Linked DNA regions of Saccharomyces cerevisiae S288C. The protein of the gene in region 2 interacts with the protein of the main gene of each other region in a biochemical or structural test. Each region holds a gene or a part of one and is shown on either strand. Other genes may lie near its edges.

What was found.
Region 1: the proteins of GEA2 (region 2) and TRS33 form a complex in vitro, tested with the Saccharomyces cerevisiae proteins (one study listed by BioGRID).

What each region holds. Positions count from the first base shown.
Region 1 is NC_001147.6:538,159-540,973, reverse strand, and holds TRS33 (Trs33p), read left to right. Parts: upstream 1-1,508; coding exon 1,509-2,315; downstream 2,316-2,815. Other genes in the region: DNA-directed RNA polymerase III core subunit RPO31, read left to right, coding at 1-1,211; mitochondrial HMG-box protein CIM1, read right to left, coding at 2,520-2,815.
Region 2 is NC_001137.3:109,310-116,618, reverse strand, and holds GEA2 (Arf family guanine nucleotide exchange factor GEA2), read right to left. Parts: upstream 5,199-7,309; coding exon 819-5,198; downstream 1-818. Other genes in the region: URA3 (orotidine-5'-phosphate decarboxylase), read right to left, coding at 1-452; YEL023C (uncharacterized protein), read left to right, coding at 6,067-7,309. UniProt on the Saccharomyces cerevisiae protein: Activates the ARF proteins by exchanging bound GDP for free GTP. Plays a role in maintaining mitochondrial morphology. Stimulates DRS2 flippase activity.

The DNA.
Region 1 (2,815 bases), on a different chromosome or scaffold from region 2:
AACTTTATAGAATCAGTGAAAAATCGGTGAGAAAGTTTTTAGAAATTGCTCTTTTCAAATATCGTAAGGCAAGACTGGAGCCAGGTACTGCTATTGGTGCTATTGGTGCTCAATCCATTGGTGAACCAGGTACACAAATGACATTGAAGACCTTTCATTTTGCAGGTGTGGCTTCCATGAATGTTACATTAGGTGTTCCTCGTATCAAAGAAATTATCAATGCTTCCAAGGTCATTTCTACACCTATTATAAATGCTGTATTAGTAAATGATAACGATGAAAGGGCTGCTAGGGTTGTTAAAGGTAGAGTGGAAAAGACACTGCTATCTGACGTAGCTTTCTATGTCCAAGATGTTTACAAAGACAACTTGTCTTTCATTCAAGTGCGTATTGATTTAGGTACGATTGATAAACTACAATTGGAGTTGACCATAGAAGATATCGCGGTTGCTATAACCAGGGCTTCTAAATTGAAAATACAAGCCTCTGATGTCAATATTATTGGTAAAGATCGAATTGCAATCAACGTATTCCCAGAAGGGTACAAAGCAAAATCGATATCTACATCTGCGAAAGAACCAAGTGAGAATGATGTTTTTTACCGAATGCAACAGTTACGTCGTGCGCTTCCTGATGTTGTTGTTAAAGGTTTACCTGATATTTCTCGTGCGGTTATTAATATTCGCGATGACGGCAAGAGGGAATTATTGGTTGAAGGTTACGGCCTGCGAGATGTGATGTGTACAGATGGTGTCATTGGTTCTAGAACTACAACTAACCATGTTTTAGAAGTCTTTTCCGTTTTGGGTATCGAAGCTGCAAGATATAGCATTATTAGAGAAATTAACTATACCATGAGTAATCACGGTATGAGTGTCGATCCACGTCATATCCAACTATTAGGTGATGTGATGACATATAAGGGTGAAGTGTTGGGTATTACAAGATTTGGTTTGAGTAAAATGAGGGACTCTGTTTTGCAGCTAGCCTCCTTCGAAAAGACAACTGACCATTTATTCGATGCGGCCTTTTATATGAAAAAGGACGCTGTTGAAGGTGTTTCTGAATGTATTATTTTGGGTCAAACGATGTCGATCGGTACCGGTTCCTTTAAAGTTGTTAAAGGTACTAATATATCTGAAAAGGATCTGGTTCCTAAGCGATGTCTATTTGAAAGTCTCTCAAATGAGGCAGCTTTAAAAGCGAACTAAAGTAGTCGTTTTTAAACTTTTTTATAGCATTTGTATTATTTTTCTACCACAGTCATTTAACGTATTTATACATATAAAACTACATGATAAAAACCATGAAACAAAATTTACTTATAAGAAATTTGCTTTCTTCACATTAGTAGAACCAGCGTATCGTTTTCAAAAACTCGCGTCAACGTTTTGAGACCAAAAATGCTAAATATTTTGGAATCTGGTATGCACTCACAAGCTGAGAGTGAAGACCTCATGCCATAAAAGAAAACATACACCGGTTATAAAGTTGGAAGATAAACAATTATGTCCTCTACACATAGTAATAATGTAGGACATCCCCAATCTTCTCCACAAGGTCCACTAACGGAACAACAAAGAGCACAACAGCAATATCAAATTTTTGAGAATTCATTACCAAAAGTAAGTCAATCTGTGTATCAGATGCTGTTGAACGAGATGGTTCCTCTAGCTATGGGCATTGAGAGGCAAATATCAGGCGATGTTATCAGTTCTGATAGCAATGTAACTTCCGAAAATGGTAACATCAACAATATGATAAAGAGACTGAAGATAGAGGAACATCATACAGTAGATATCATACGTTCTCATAACTTGATACATGAGCTGTATAAGGCGGATGAAGAGGAAAAAGAAAAGGTTTTAGCAAGACTGAGGAATATTGGGTTTCAAATCGGATTGAAGCTGTCAGAGTTATTGATATTTTCTAACAACCCAAATTTAAAATTCAAGGAAATGGACCTTCTATTAATAATGAAGTTCATTTGTAGGGATGTCTGGAAACAAATATTTGGTAAACAGATCGATAATTTAAAAACAAACCACAGAGGAACCTTTTACCTTCTTGATTATGACTATCGACCTATTCAATCATTTTCTTTGGAGGAAGATGCAAAAAACGAGGAGTTAAAAATGATAGAACCGTTTTTGGAGATACCTGTGGGAATTATTAGAGGCGTGTTGTCTTCCTTAGGTTATTCATCTGAAGAGGTCATTTGCTTGGCGTCTTTTATCGACAGGCCAACAGATAGGCCTAAAACAGCTTTTCCCAAGGGAGTTAGCTTCCATGTTCAAGTCACAATGCCGCAGTAAAGGTCCGACAGATTTTTGTTCTAAGAATGTACATCGACATATAGATAGATATAAGTGTGTATATAAAAGAACAGGTGACTCCGTTTTCAAAATAATACCCTTACTATAAAATCTTGACAATAATTTCTTTGATCAAGGTACATATAGTCTTTATGATAGTGAAGTGCTTTCGTGGACTCTTCTTAAAGCCCTAAAAGTCTATTGTCATTTCTTTTTTAGTAGGTACGTCATGGGAAGAATATTATTTGGTTGTGTATTTGTATCGTGATTCGCTGCTGTAAGATAGGACTCACTTCTGAGACCAAACTTTGACATGATATCCATGTTTTTTTGTAATATTTGTATCTCGTTATCCATCATTTCCTCAAATTTTGCCCTCCATACCTGTAATTTTTTTCTAATTTCTAGTTTCTGGTCATAGTCAACCTCTTCGTTCCAAGCATACCGGCATTCTTTGCACATTTGTTGAAACCTTTTCATATAATCATAAAGGTAATTTT
Region 2 (7,309 bases):
GCTAACATCAAAAGGCCTCTAGGTTCCTTTGTTACTTCTTCCGCCGCCTGCTTCAAACCGCTAACAATACCTGGGCCCACCACACCGTGTGCATTCGTAATGTCTGCCCATTCTGCTATTCTGTATACACCCGCAGAGTACTGCAATTTGACTGTATTACCAATGTCAGCAAATTTTCTGTCTTCGAAGAGTAAAAAATTGTACTTGGCGGATAATGCCTTTAGCGGCTTAACTGTGCCCTCCATGGAAAAATCAGTCAAGATATCCACATGTGTTTTTAGTAAACAAATTTTGGGACCTAATGCTTCAACTAACTCCAGTAATTCCTTGGTGGTACGAACATCCAATGAAGCACACAAGTTTGTTTGCTTTTCGTGCATGATATTAAATAGCTTGGCAGCAACAGGACTAGGATGAGTAGCAGCACGTTCCTTATATGTAGCTTTCGACATGATTTATCTTCGTTTCCTGCAGGTTTTTGTTCTGTGCAGTTGGGTTAAGAATACTGGGCAATTTCATGTTTCTTCAACACCACATATGCGTATATATACCAATCTAAGTCTGTGCTCCTTCCTTCGTTCTTCCTTCTGCTCGGAGATTACCGAATCAAAAAAATTTCAAAGAAACCGGAATCAAAAAAAAGAACAAAAAAAAAAAAGATGAATTGAAAAGCTTTATGGACCCTGAAACCACAGCCACATTAACCTTCTTTGATGGTCAAAACTTATCCTTCACCATAAATATGCCTCGCAAAAAAGGTAATTAACATATATAGAATTACATTATTTATGAAATATCATCACTATCTCTTAGCATCTTTAATCCTTTTCTACATCAGATAACTTCGGTTTGTTATCATCGTCTGTATTGTCATCAATTGGCGCAGTAGCCTCAATTTCAACGTCGTTTGACTCTGGTGTTTGTTCATGTGCAGATCCATGAGATGATGAACCGTTGCCCTTCTCAATACTCTTCTTATCAAGTATTAATTGCTGTAGCTTTTTTTCAATATCTGAGTCCTCTACAAATTTATTGAAAATACTCAAAATTTTCAAAAACGTTTCGTTGCTTGTCTTCCCTAGTTTCAAATAATGCAAATAAACATTTGAAATTATTGTTAATATGGATGAAATGAGGATTTTCTGGTCTTCCTGTGTTTCACTCGAATTTAGCAACGGTAGTAATCCGCCCTCAATTAATTCTTCTACCGATTCCATCTCATTAGTTGGAATTTCGATTTTATTGATGAGCGTCTGCTCTAGCGTTACCACTGCAAATTCACTTATCTGCTTACACGGATTGATGCATTGATGTGCCAAAGCTTGAATAATAGCGAATATCTCGTTTTTACGCAGATCGTTATTATCTTCCAGCAAGTGTGATGTTAGTTGAATGGATTTCAATGATAATTCGATCGATTTCTTGTATGGATTCTCCTTATCAATTTTATGACCACTTTCTGTCAATTTCTTGTATTCTATTTCCCAGTGATTTCCAACGGCACCCATTGATGAAATTTCATCTAATAGTCCTAGGACCCACATGAAGTTCTCATTTGTCAAAATATTGCTGTCTGTCTTGATCGATTCATTTAAATATTCAAAAATGCTCTCGCTCTGCTCTTTCATTGCTGTAACTTTTCTTAAAAATTTCCAAAAATTCTCATTTCCTAGTAAAAATCCTCTATAAAACTCTGATTCGGTCAATGAAAATAGTCTCTTCAAAAATTCCTTACCTTGATTAGTTGCAAAAAATTTTTGGGTAAAAATATCCCCCTTTTTTAACAGCTCATCGTTTATTAATTTGGACAAGTACTCCGTCTGATCCGCACATAACGAAATTAACAAAATTTTGTATGTTAGCATTCTACGAACAGTCCTTTTCGTGAGGCCTTTCGTGTGAGAAAGTTGGAAAACTTTTTGAAGTATGAACTTTCCTAATTCTTTCTCCTCTTTGCAAAATAGAAATAATGCAATAGTCAATTCGATGATAAATAAAAGTTCTGCTTCAAAATACCTGGAATTATCTGCGTTTTTCTCAGTTTTGGCGGAGTCTAGTAAAGTTTTTATTAAATCCGCTGTTATATTTGATTCATTTCCAAAGACAGAGGCGGCAATATTACTCGACTTTATGCACTCCATCGCTTTTTTTGAGGATTTGATTTCCTCTTCTGTGGGTTCTTCATCACCTTTTAAATAAGAAGCAAATGTTGATAAGAGACCTTTGCTTTCTTTGCTCTTGTTAATAGAAATTTCAGGAGATGGCTTAGGCAAGTTGCTTAATTTCAGTCTTTTTTGTAAATCAGGGAAAATATCAGGAGACAAAATCAAGTCTTCGTACAATGTTAGTATAATATTAACAATGTTTAACCATAATTCCTTGGAGAAAATTTTAGGATCTTTGTTCCTGCGAATAATCCGGAAAAAAACAACTGTATTTAGTTGACCCTTAAATGATCTACCAAATCTAACAGCATCTGTACTAACCGGGATCTCAGTGTTAGTGTCTTCGAATTTAATTTGCACCAGTGGCATTGGGCCATATTCAAAAGCTAAAGTTGAAAGTTCATCGTCATGGCTTGAATTAATCAAAGTAGTGCCCTTAGCAATGGAGTTTAGTATATCATTAAAGAGATCTTTGAAGTCAAAAAATGCGGAAATATAGGAACATTTGTCCAAACTTGTTATCATTCTGGTAGATATATGGTCATCAGATGCAACTACGTAAATGTTGAATAAAGTACTGACAATACTTGGGCCAACTTGTTTAAAAATTGCTCTATCAAAGTTCAAAAGCTCCAAGGGTGTTAATTTATCCATGACAGATTGTGTGTCTTTTTTTATTTCAGTTATAACAGTAGTTGAAGATATCAAGTTATTCCAAGCATCTTCAAACCACTTTTCGTTGCCGTGGTGCTCTTCAGGCATAACAATTTCTTTATCTCTGATTGAACAGTAAATTCTATCCAAATACCAGAATGGGAAGTCTTTGTGATTACAGCATCCCTTTAAGTTACCAGAGTAATCTTCAAATGACATGTGTTCCTTCACTTGAGGGTTATGTAGGTCAGTGTTCAACATAATAATTGAATAACTTAAAATGAAAACAGAATCAGCGTCTGGTTGAACAGTAGAAATGTCATCCTCCGCGTTGTCACTGATTTTGGATGGATCGTAATCTTGATTTTCACAATACGCAGACGAGAAGGCTTCGATGATTCTTTCAATTTGTTGCGATTCACCAGGCAACCTAAATTTCGTCAACAAAATTCTAATAGCTTCATCGACCCTTAACCCTGAAAAATCAAACAAACGAATATATTCATTCAACAAGCTTACTTTGTCCGGATGGCAAAGTAGCAAACCGATTGTTTTTTTATTCATACGGTTGTTATTATTGAAAAGAAACTCCGCAATATCTTTATCGGAGTCGGAAGCAATGAAACCTTTTTCTATTAACATCGGAATACCCTTTTTGGGCTTTTCATTGAATGCATTGGTACATTCAATAAACTCTGTTTTACGGTCCCTCTTTTTTAAGATTTCCATTTCATTCTTTTGCCTGCCAAATTCTTCTCTGTCAATGTCCTTCATGTGATCGAACATATCATCGACTAGGGAGACCAATCCCTCAAGGCAAATGGGTGGTACACTTTCTGTGGTAGTTAAGGCGGATTCTGGTAAGGCCAATTTAGTCAAAGCCTTCAAAAAGTTTATGGAAACGTCTGCCCTATCGAGATTACAATCGAAATTGATAAAAGTAGAAGTAAAAAAAGATGGCGACCTAGTCCATAAGATGGATATTTGCTCAATTAGAAGTTCCTTTATTATTGATGGCTTGTTCTTATTTTCAGAACTCGAGTTATTTGCGGTACCATCATCTAAAAGAATAGAAAATATTCTTGTTAGAGTGAGCTCGATCTGTAATTGTAAGTTGTTGCCCAATATAACAACTAGAGTAGTAAATAGCTGCAATGTAGCTTGAAGTAGTGATAATTTTGTAGTGTTCTGTATGATAAACAAAATGCTTTTGAAAATAGGATCTGATATCAGTGTAAAAAGCCGTGGGTATAGCTGCAATCGATCACCTGAAATTTCTAATGCCGTTTGAATTAACTCTAGGCCAAATATTCTAGTGGAGTATGAATGTTTTAATTCATTTTCTGGCGCAATCAATGATAGTAATAAGTTTAAATATTGCCTAACCACGGGCAATCCATAGTTATCATCAGCATACGCTTGGATCCTGGAATTTGATCTTGTTGTTTTTTGCACAATATCTAGTTGTTCGGCGCCATTTGTGCTCTTCTCTGAATGAATATGCTCTTCTTCAATGCCATCGTCCTCGCTAATAGCTTCCTCATTATTCACTTTCATGCCGATGGGATCTTCTTGACTTCCTTCTTCTTTGGATTCTACATTTGTGCCAATTGTATCGGCCTTCAATACATCATTTGTGTAACTTTCATCATTGATGTATATTTGATTCACATTAACAGGCTCAATAGTCTTTAGTTTTGAGAAAATCTTTACGGTAACGGCTATCATTGTTGATTGTGCAGCATTCCTAAGGACTTCGCTCCTTCTGTTATTACAAGCCAATGAAAGAATCGTTTGCAATACGTCATATATGATAGAGTTTGATAATAAATCTCCGTAAGGTGAGTCGACGATTGAACGCAGTAAAAACACGACTTTCAAAAGAACTGAATCATCAGAAAGTTGTTGAGATCCTTCAAACCTACAATGTGTTAGAGCATTTACCGTCGCCCTGTGTGCACCAATATAGTTTTGCGATGATTCATTGATGATATTCAAGGTAAAGAATTTCTGCAAAGAGTCCAGGGCCAGGGAAGTGATGTAACCAGAAATGGAACTTGTACTCACAATTAATAAAAATGGCTGCAATATGGTTAGTGAATCTATATTATCTAGATTTTTCAGTTTATTCAACATAAGTCTTAACTGAATGAATCCAGATAAAAATGGATCATTGTGCTTGTTGGTATTCAAATTGTTGAATGTGTGAGCCAAGTAGTCATCTTGATTGCTAAATATTTCACTTCCTCCCCCCAGCAAAGCGGCCACTCCAGATTGAGAGGTAAATTTAGAGTATTTCCGCATCGCTGTCGATAAATTAATGCATTCTTTGATTATGATAGTGACGGGATCTACCGTGACGAATTCCCTATCACTCATCTTTCCGCCTCTTCTCTTTCCCTTTAAAAGATTTTTTAGATACTAAATTAATCAGTTTATTGTCTATGGTTTACAAGCAGTGAAAGAATTTAAATTCAACGTAATATGTAGGTTGGTGTGTTTATTATTTAAACGCCAATGTAGGTGCTCTTTCGACACTTATTGAAGGTTCTCGCAATGAACCGCGTAGTATTTTTCAAGTCGGGTAATGAAATATATAAGAACACTTCTAATACTTTATGAAAATAAGTGCTAAATATGGTTTACCTCTTATGCCAATATAAACTATAAAAGAACTTAAAAACATCAAATCTTTAGCAGAGGAGTCCTTTCCGTTTGAAATTGTTGTTTATTACTTTATTTGCGGTTCGCCACACTGCCTAAAACCTGCAGTTTCCTGTAAATGTTGCTGGTATATTATCAGTATGAGCCGGCCGGATATTTCCCTTATTTAATGAAAGAAGTTTTTTTGAAGTCAACTTCTAGTGTTTGTCTTCCATTTTAACGATCAGGAGTCGTCATTCCAATTTTTTGCCTAGAAAAGATTCATGCTTTTAGGAAAATAGTGGAAAACCAAACATACATCAATTGACGCTTCAAGTATGGTACTTAAAAGATAATGTTAATATTTATTATCCTGTTAATTAGTCTTTCTTCGTCTTCTGAAAAATGTTACTTGGAATATTTAATGTTATGAAATTATGGTAATGGCCCTCCTGTTGTCTATTGAGGTGTCTGGGTGTGTTTGTCACATTCAATATACTGTTAAACCGCCACAAATTAATGTACTTCAGACAGATGTAGTAAAATAACAGCAAACAGGTGATGTAACTTATAAAAAATAATACACTAACATAATATCCATTAGATGGATAGCTTCAATTATATTCATGGAAAATATAAAAAAAATGGGACGGGAGGCGACAGAAGTATAAATCCATCCTCACATTCATCGTCTGGCAAGAATATCATTCTTTGTTTTGATGGAACAAGAGAAAATTTTGGACCTCAGCCATTCACTAATATTTTAAAATTGTACAACCTTCTTGAGAACGGTGATAGTTCTGAACAAATTTGTTATTACCAACCTGGAATTGGTTCAGTTGGATTTGACGCTGTTGTTGATGTCAGAAGACGGTTAACTATTTCTCACTTACAAAATTTATTAGATTCTATGTTCGCATTCAGTTTAGACAATCACATATGTTCTGCATATCTTTTTTTGATGAAGTATTTTGAACCAGGAGATAGAATTTATATGTTTGGCTTTTCTAGAGGAGCTTTTATTGCAAGAGTTCTTGCTGGAATGATTGAAAGAGTCGGACTTTTGAGTAAAGGTTTGGAAGAAATGGTTAAAATGGCATGGCAAATCTATGAAAAATGGGAATACGATTCGCAGCCTAATGAATTACAGTACACAAGTACCTTGGCTGAAGAATTCAAGAAAACATTCTCTAGGGATTACGAGGTAAAGATACATTTTCAAGGCTTATTCGATTCTGTGAACTCAGTTGGAATATTAAGGGACAGGTTGTTTCCTTGCACCCAGAGAAGCAATATCGTTGAGCATGTTCGACATTGCGTATCCTTGGATGAAAGACGTGGAAAATTCAAGCAGTTATGTTTCACTCCGATGCCGTACATTCCGAAACTATTTTCATTGACATATTGTAATCATATAACTGACCAGTGTTCGCCGGTGCCAACTTCTAATGCATTAATGCGTGATCTAACCCCGGAAAATCCTTTGATAAAATACACTTTAAAAAGTGGCGCACATTCTATTAGTAATCCTTCTCCACTCATTCCTGATAACCCTGGAAGGTTGTTATCGAGCAAAAGCGAGGAAACTACAGAGTTGCTGTTGGACCTGAACTCATTCTTAGAAGGTAATTCATACGCGAGAGATACAGAATGTTCAACAAGAGGAATTGAAGCCATTTTCCAACTTCAATCTATCCAAGGCAGCGGTACATCAAGTAGAATGACTATGACACCCGACTTGATTGAAAAATGGTTTCCAGGTGATCATTCTGACGTTGGTGGAGGTTGGGCGCCTGACTGTGAGACAGAAGAGAACTTGTCAAATTTAACGCTGCGATGGATTTTAG